Mus musculus: one gene and its partner. The protein of the gene in region 1 purifies or fractionates together with the protein of each later gene. This does not show direct contact. Links are inferred from orthologs where the notes say so. Each region holds a gene or a part of one and is shown in the gene's direction. Other genes may lie near its edges.

Region 1 (4,318 bases):
CCAGGCCCAGGCAATGCTCTCTTCTCCAAGAAACGTCTTTGCCCATGTCCCCTTCCTTTGCACACTCATGGCTTCTTTGGCCAACTGTAGCAGCCTAAGCCCCTTGGTCTACAGGGTAGATGGTGGGCTCAGTGTACTTGGCAAAAACTTGTCTTTCCCAGTTGGGATCAGCCTAAGTTCTCAGGCAGGAACTGGTGATGATCTGTAGATGAGCTGTCAGACGCACATCAGGACAGAATGGAGGCATCTGGACTTCCAAGGACAGACCTTGCCAGTCTTGGTGGCACACGCCTTTAATCCCAACACTGAGAGGCAGAGGCAGGCCATTCTCTGCGCTGTTGAGACCTGGTCTCTATACCAAATTTCAAGTCAGCACACTCCCCCAAAGAAAAGGAGAGGGCTGGTGAGATGGCTCAGTGGGTAAGAGCACCCGACTGCTTTTCTGAAGGTCCGAAGTTCAAATCCCAGCAACCACATGGTGGCTCATAACCACCCATAATGAGATCTGACTCCCTCTTCTGGAGTGTCTGAAGACAGCTACAGTGTACTTTCATGTAATAAATAAATAAATAAATAAATAAACAAATAAGAAAGAAAGAAAAGGAGAAAGGGGCGTTCCTGTGAACTCCCATTGTATAGTTGGAAGGGTTTAGCCCTGGAATCCCTTTCCCTAGGATTCATTTTCTCACCACCTTCTCAAACTTTTCACGAGTTAGCCCACCATATACACACTTGTTTGTTCATTGTGTGTATGCCCGCACATCGATTGTTTTCATTTTAGATTTTTAGTCGTTTAACTATGTTTATCTGTGTGTCTGCATGTGGGTATAGACCTGTAAGTGTGGCCCTTGGAGGCCAGAGGCATCAGACTCTCTGGAGCTGGAGTTACAAATGGCTGGGGGCCACCTCATGTGGGTGCTTGCATCCGATTTCTCATGTAAAGTGCAGATACACTAATAAAAACTTGTATAAAAAGGGAAATTGAGGCACATGAACCTGGCTGTTCATCACTGGTCTCTTGCTTTCTTTCGAGACAGGGTTTTCTCTGTAGACCTGGCTATAGAGCAGGCTGGCCTCGAACTCACAGATCTGCTTGCCGAGGACGGGGATTAAAGGCGTGGACTACAGCCCGGGAGACGCCTAAGGGAGGGAAATAAAACTGTTATCAGGTCAAGTATCGCGAGATCTTCCCGACGCGCGACACCGCCCCGGTGAAGGCTGGGGCTGCCCAACGCGCAGCCTGTCGTGGAAAGTAGGTTTATTCCGGCGTTCACCTTAGACAGCACGAACCTGGGCGGGGGCCTTCCCAGCCCTTGGCGCAGGCGCACTGCCGGGGGGCGGGGGGCATTTTGTGCGTCCGGCGCAGGCTCCGTGCTGGCAGCTCCACGAGCGCGCGTGCACAGTTGTTTGGGAAGCGCGACAGCATGGACGACGAGGAGGAGACCTACCGGCTGTGGAAGATCCGCAAGACGATCATGCAGGTGATCAAGCGTGAGGAGCTTTATGCGAGCGAGCGTTCAGTTGCGGACTAACTGCGGGTTGTCCGCCGAGGCCCGCCTCCCGCAGGGGCCAATCCTCCTGGATTGGAATGCATCCCCGTTTAAAGTGTGGAGCCCACCCACGCTGGCTTCAACTCTTAGAAATCCTACTGCTTCCACCTCCTAACTCTGCCTCAGGGGAAAAGGCCTGGGTGGGCTCCGTTTCGGGAGAGGGGGCTGCTGCGTGGTCACACTTGGTTTTATGCGAGCTAGGTAGCCGCCCACACGAAAGCTATCAACCATCTGTAACCCCAGTTCCAGGGGATCTGACGCCCTGTCCTGATCTCTGGGGACTCCAGACACACATAGGATGAAAAAACAGTATTTTTAAAAACAGAACAAGCCGGTATGATGGTACACGCCTTTAATCCCAGCACTCTGGAGGCAGAAGCAAGCGAATCTCTTTAAATTAGAAGTCAGCCTCATCTACATAGTGATTTCCAGAATAGACAAAGTCACGCAGAGAAACCCTGTCTTGAAAAAGAAAAAGGGAATAAAAGAAAAAATTCTTGGTTGTTTTGAGTTGAACACATGAGACACCATTATTAGATAAAGAGGTATGCATAGTTTTGACTTATGCTGTGTTGGTGGAGCCCAGGGCCACCTCATGCCTGTTCCTCAGCCCTGATCCTGGATGATGCTCTAGTCTCCCTCATCAGGAACACTCAAGACTGGGGACAGGAAGGTGCCTGTATTCAGAAGGTTGCCTACAGTTGCCAGGGGATTAATCCCAGCCTGCTCCACTGAGGTTGGGGGGAGGAGAGGCTTGGCCGGGCCGCTGTGGTCTGAGCCTATACAGAGTTTGGGTACTGCTGGATCAGTTCAGTGTTAGTCCCCAGCCTCGGCCATTCAGGGTCAGGTCTGCGAGCTAAGTGCTCAGGCTGACTGCCTCTTTGCCTCTTGTCTCTGCAGCTGTGTCATGACCGTGGCTACCTGGTGACCCAGGATGAACTGGACCAGACACTTGAGGAATTCAAGGCGCAGTTTGGGGACAAGCCCAGCGAAGGACGGCCAAGGCGCACAGACCTCACGGTGCTGGTGGCCCACAACGATGACCCCACAGACCAGATGTTTGTGTTCTTCCCAGGTGAGGCCCTTGGGCTGGCAGGAGTGGTCTCCTCCAGGCCCTGGCTCAGGTGCCAGTGAATGCATGTCCCACTCTGGCCTAACGCTGCCTGTAAGATTGTGGCAGCTGCCTGCTTTTGTCCCTGTCTCCCCTGGGAAGCCTCCCTTTTGCTGGTGTCGTTTTCATCCCATAAGCCCCAGAACCAGCTCTCAGCCCTCCACCCCCTGGCTCCTATATGCTGTATTCTATAGCTTCTGCCTGGGAGTCCCAGGGCCAGCTATGCCACCCCCACACCCCCTGTGTGCTGTATTCTACAGCTTCTGCCAGCAGCGCAGGTGTCTTGTGGGAGTGAAGGCTATTGGGGAGCCCAGGACCTCCCTGTGCAGCTACATTCAGTCTCCCCAGACAGCTTGCCTCTTTTAATACCTAATGCTTTGTGGCCCCGGGACCTGGTTTTTAGTGTGAGAATTGGGGGGTGCGGGGATGGGCATGGTAGCATATGCCTGTAAGCCCAGTGTTTGAGAGGCAGAGGCAGGCAGTCGAGGCCAGCCTGGTCTATACAATGACTTCCGGGACAACTATGGAGGGCATTGGTTCTCAGCCTTCCTGATGCTGGGACCCCTTAGTACACTTCACATTGTGACCTCCAACCATAAAATCTTCATTGCTAATTCATAACTAATTTTGCTACTATTATGAGTCATAATGTAAATATACCTGTGTTTATCCAGCAATTTGCAAACTAGGTGGCCTGGGTCTGCTCCTGCGCTCTGCCTGAGGAGACAAGGCTAGCCTCATGTAGACACAGGGTCCATCTCTTGGTCAGTCAGTTTCTCCTTGAGGCTGTCTAAGCTGACAGTACCATATCCCCCAAACCCCAGAGCTGCTGAGAGCCCCCACCCCCGTTCCAGGGGGGCCGCAGTTCCTGCATACCCTGCAGCTTCTGCAGTGATAGCTGAGCCCCCTGGCAGCCCCATCATGGCTGCCTTGATGTTCTAGTCTTCCCTTGCAAGCAGAGAAACTAAGACCACAGGCTCCAGTAGTGAGTGTGAGGGTGGTGCTTGTGTGCCCGCAGAGGAGCCCAAGGTGGGCATCAAGACCATCAAGGTATACTGCCAGCGCATGCAGGAGGAAAACATCACACGGGCGCTGATTGTGGTGCAGCAGGGCATGACGCCCTCCGCCAAGCAGTCCCTGGTGGACATGGCCCCGAAGTATGTGCTGGAACAGTTTCTACAGCAGGAGCTGCTCATCAATATCACAGAGCACGAGGTGTGTGTGGTGGGGTGGGGCGTAGTGCTGCCTGCATCCAGGACACGGGCCGGGGCGGGGTGCTTCCCCGGTTTTGGCCCTGAGCATCCAACTTGGTGATATTAATAGCCTGGTTTTGTCCTCTGTCCCAGCCCCATGACAATACCCATTAGTCTGTTGGTCTGTTGAAGTTCCTGATGGCCGCGTGCCTGTGGGTGGGTCTCTGTCTCCACAGCTAGTCCCTGAGCACGTGGTCATGACAAAGGAGGAGGTGACTGAACTGCTGGCTCGATAGTATCCTTTACTCTGTCCCCACACCCCCCTCACCCCAGCGCTGCCCGCCAGCTGCTTCCTTGACTGTTCTAGCAAGCTTCGTGAGAGCCAGCTACCCAGAATCCAGGCCGGGGACCCAGTGGCACGGTACTTTGGGATCAAGCGAGGGCAGGTGAGAAGCCACAGTGGT
Region 2 (3,646 bases), on another chromosome or scaffold:
AAATTCACAGGAAGGTCCTGGGGCTCACCAGCCATCTTGGCCTACTTGTTAAGTTCAAGCCCAGGGAGAGATCCTATCTCAAAAAATAAATAAAAATAGATGTCTAGGACGTTGAGAGATGGCTTAGCAGTTAAGAGTACCTCCTCTTCCCCCAGACGACCAAAGTGTGGTTCCTAACACCTGTGTCTGTAATTCCAGCTCTGAGAGAGCTACCACCTTCTGGCCATCTCGGGGCCTCTGCGCACATGTGGCAGGCACATATACATAATATGAATTAAAGAAAAAAATCTTGTAGGGCTAGAGAGATGATTCAGCAGTTAGGAGGACCCAAGTTCAGTTCTAAACACCCTATCTTCAATTCTAGGGGATCTTATATCCTCTTGTGGATCCACAGGCTCCAAGCATGACACTGGTGCAGATGCAAGTACACAATCACACAGATACATAAACTCAAAACTAAATCTTTCTGGTTGGATGTGGTGGTGCGCACCTTTAACCCCAGCACTCAGGAGGCAGAGGCAGGTGATCTCTGTGAATTTGAGGTCTACATAGTACATTCCAGGACAGCCAGGGCTATGTAGAGAGACTTTCTCACAACAACAACAACAAAGAAAAGTAGATATTTAGCTAGTCCTGGTGTGTCGCAAAGCTTTAGTCCCTGTACTTAAGGAGGTAAATTGAGAAAATGTCCTATTATGTCACTGAAACAGTCAAATAAGATCAGGCCTGGGAAGTATCCTCCAAGCTTAGCCACAAGGAGGCTCTTGAGGACAGTGGTGGGTCTGGAATACCAGTAACAACTGAAATTTCATAAGAGAGGTGGCTGAGCAAAGCCAGAGCTGGCATAGATAGCCAGGAGGGAAAGGAAGCAGGGAAGCATGGGGTGGAAGGAGAAGTCATGACCTGCGCAGGGTAAAAGCTGATGAACAGAGCAGTACAGGAGCCTTGCAGCCTCAGGACAGGAAGCAAAGGGCCTGGATCCTGAGGCCCAGGGGAACGACATGATCTGAAACAGCAGCATGGCCCTTGCCCTTAGGTAAAAGGACAAACGTTCTCCTGGAGAGAGGGAAGAAGGAAAGTGGGGGATAGTAAAGATATTTACACAAAGTTAAATGAGTTCTGGCCTCTATTAGAGGAAAGAAGGTGTCAAATGAGAGATTGGAGAGTAATGGAGAAGAATTAACCAAGGAAGAAGGTGACTTTGTGGAACCTGAAGTTAGACTTCCTTGGGACACACTAATCCACACTCTTGAATGCTTTTCTCTAGCCCATTTAATTGCTACAGTGTGACAAAACAAGTGGAGCTTTACTGTATAAACAAAACAAGCAGAGCACCCTGGGGATGGCGGGTGCTGCATCTCACCGCCTCTCTATCCTCCTCTCCCCAGCCCTCACCAGACGATGGGATTTATTGGCAAGTCAACCTCGACAGGTTCCACCAGCACTTCCGTGACCAAGCAATCGTGAGCGCAGTGGCAAACCGAATGGACCAGGTAATATCCAAGTGGGTCAGCCAGTGATCAGCAAGGAACAAGGTCTGTCATTGAGATGGATGTCAGATGTAGCCACTGGCTCAGGGCCAGGGCCAGAGGCAGTGAAGGTATATTCTGAATTGTCTGTTTTTCAGACAAGCAGCGAGATCGTGCGGACGATGCTCCGGATGAGTGAGATCACCACTCCCTCTAGCGCCCCCTATACTCAGCCGCTGTCCTCCAATGAGGTACGCTTCAGGGTTCTTTCTGGGGGGGGGAGGAGTTGTTTTGTTTTGAACTTTCTGTGTAGCCCCTGGCTGTCCTGGAACTCACTACTGCTGAGCTTAGAGGTGTGCACGCCTGGTTTAGCTTTGTATTTCTGTGCTAGCTTTCTGCTAGGCGTAGATATTGTAGCAGTTATTAGACGTGACTTGTAGATTTCTGATGCCTGTGCCTTGCGTGAAAAGGAGGGTTTTGTTGCTTGCAGTGGGGCAAGGATTTCTTGGAAATGTTAAGCACTGAAATGTTTGACCACCTTAGAATCCAGCTTTTAAAAATGCTAAGCCATGGAGACTAAAGAGATAGCTCAGCAATTAAAGGAACTGGCTGCACTTCCAGAGGACCCAGGTTCAATTCTCAGCACATACAAGGCAGCTCACAACTGTCTGTAACTCCAATCCAAAGGGGTCTTTCTCCTGGCTTCCTTGGGCACTGCACATACATGATACACTTACAGTCATGCAGGCAAAACACATATACACATAAAAATAAATAAGTAAAAGAGAGAAAGTCAGGTGTGGTAACACATACCTTTAATCCTAGCACTCAGGAGGTAAAGGGAAGTAAGTCTCTAAGTGTAAGGCCAGCCTTGTCTACAAAGCATTTTCTAGGACAGCCAAGACTACACAGAGAAACCCTATCTCAAAAAAACAAATAAATAAATAAATCTTTTAAAAAAATGTTGTTAAGCCATTAAAATTATTATAGTCAAATATCTGTCAAGTACAGTTTATTTCTAATTATTTTAAGAATCTACTAGCCAGGTGTACTGGCAAATGCCTGAAATCCTACCTAAGGCTTCAGGGATTGCCTGCCTGAGCTCAGGAGTTCAAAGCCAAGCTGGGCAACAGCATTAGCTCCGATAAAGGCTATCTTACAATATATACATGTTTGGCCGGGCGTGGTGGCGCACGCCTTTAATCCCAGCACTCGGGAAGCAGAGGCAGGCGAATTTCTGAGTTCGAGGCCAGCCTGGTCTACAGAGTGAGTGTTCCAGGACAGCCAGGGCTATAAAGAGAAACCCTGTCTCGAAAAAAAACAAAAAAACAAAAAACAAAAAACAAAAAAAAAAAAAACAATATATACATGTTTGGATTCTGATGAAAGTCTTGGCATTTAAAAATTACTTTTTTGTTGTTGTTTTGTTTTGTTTTTTTGTCTTTGTTTTGTTTTGTGTTTGTTTGACAGGATTTCTCTGTGTAGCCCTGACTGTGTCCTGGAACTCACTCTGTAGACCAGGCTGGCCTCGAACTCAGAAATCCACCTGCTTCTGCCTCCTAAGTACTAGGATTAAAGGCGTGTGCCACCACTGCCTGGCAACATTACATTTCTACTGCTTTTATAATTATACTTACTTAAATATTGCTATTATGTTTTATATTGTTTCTAAAGTTTTTGTAGTTGATTGATTTGTTTGTTTTAAAGACAGGGTCTCTGCTGGCCTCAAACTTGCCCTGTAGACCAGGCTGGCCTCTGTCTCCCTAGTGCTGTGATCAAAGGCCTAACTTTCTGAATTCTTGTCCCTTGTAAATTTCATGAGCTTCTTGAGCCTTATACGTTGTAGCTTCCAGAGTCTTAGAAGCCTCCCTCCAGAGTAGAGTGTTTACCTTTGGAGGCCATAGCTACGCAGTAACCCACAGTCTTCCTCCCTAGCCTCTGGGGAGCTGGTGTTAAGTACAGGCATATACCACTACACTTGGTTGTAGTTTAATTAATTATTTATCACTGGACACTTGGGTTTTTTCTCCTTCTACTCTGTTTCTGTCAGGGTCTGACTGTGTAGCACTGGCTATTTAGAGCTCACTATGTAGACTAGACCCCAAATACAGAGATCTACCTGCCTCTGCCTCCCAAGTTTTGGGATTAAAGTTGTGCAGCCCTCTTGGCCTCTTTAC

What was found. The genes of interacting proteins can lie anywhere in the genome.
Region 2: the proteins of Polr2e (region 1) and Polr3c purify together in Homo sapiens (affinity purification with mass spectrometry; 4 studies listed by BioGRID and IntAct, counting the BioPlex papers as one, with this or other methods). This does not show direct contact. The link is inferred for Mus musculus from reciprocal best matches to the Homo sapiens genes POLR2E and POLR3C.

What each region holds. Positions count from the first base shown.
Region 1 is NC_000076.6:80,036,746-80,041,063, reverse strand, and holds the start of Polr2e (DNA-directed RNA polymerases I, II, and III subunit RPABC1), read left to right. Parts: upstream 1-1,404; 5' UTR 1,405-1,424; coding exon 1,425-1,481; intron 1,482-2,450; coding exon 2,451-2,625; intron 2,626-3,679; coding exon 3,680-3,876; intron 3,877-4,090; coding exon 4,091-4,149; intron 4,150-4,221; coding exon 4,222-4,300; intron 4,301-4,318. UniProt on the Homo sapiens protein: DNA-dependent RNA polymerase catalyzes the transcription of DNA into RNA using the four ribonucleoside triphosphates as substrates.
Region 2 is NC_000069.6:96,717,308-96,720,953, reverse strand, and holds part of Polr3c (DNA-directed RNA polymerase III subunit RPC3), read left to right. Parts: intron 1-1,388; coding exon 1,389-1,493; intron 1,494-1,627; coding exon 1,628-1,720; intron 1,721-3,646. UniProt on the Homo sapiens protein: DNA-dependent RNA polymerase catalyzes the transcription of DNA into RNA using the four ribonucleoside triphosphates as substrates.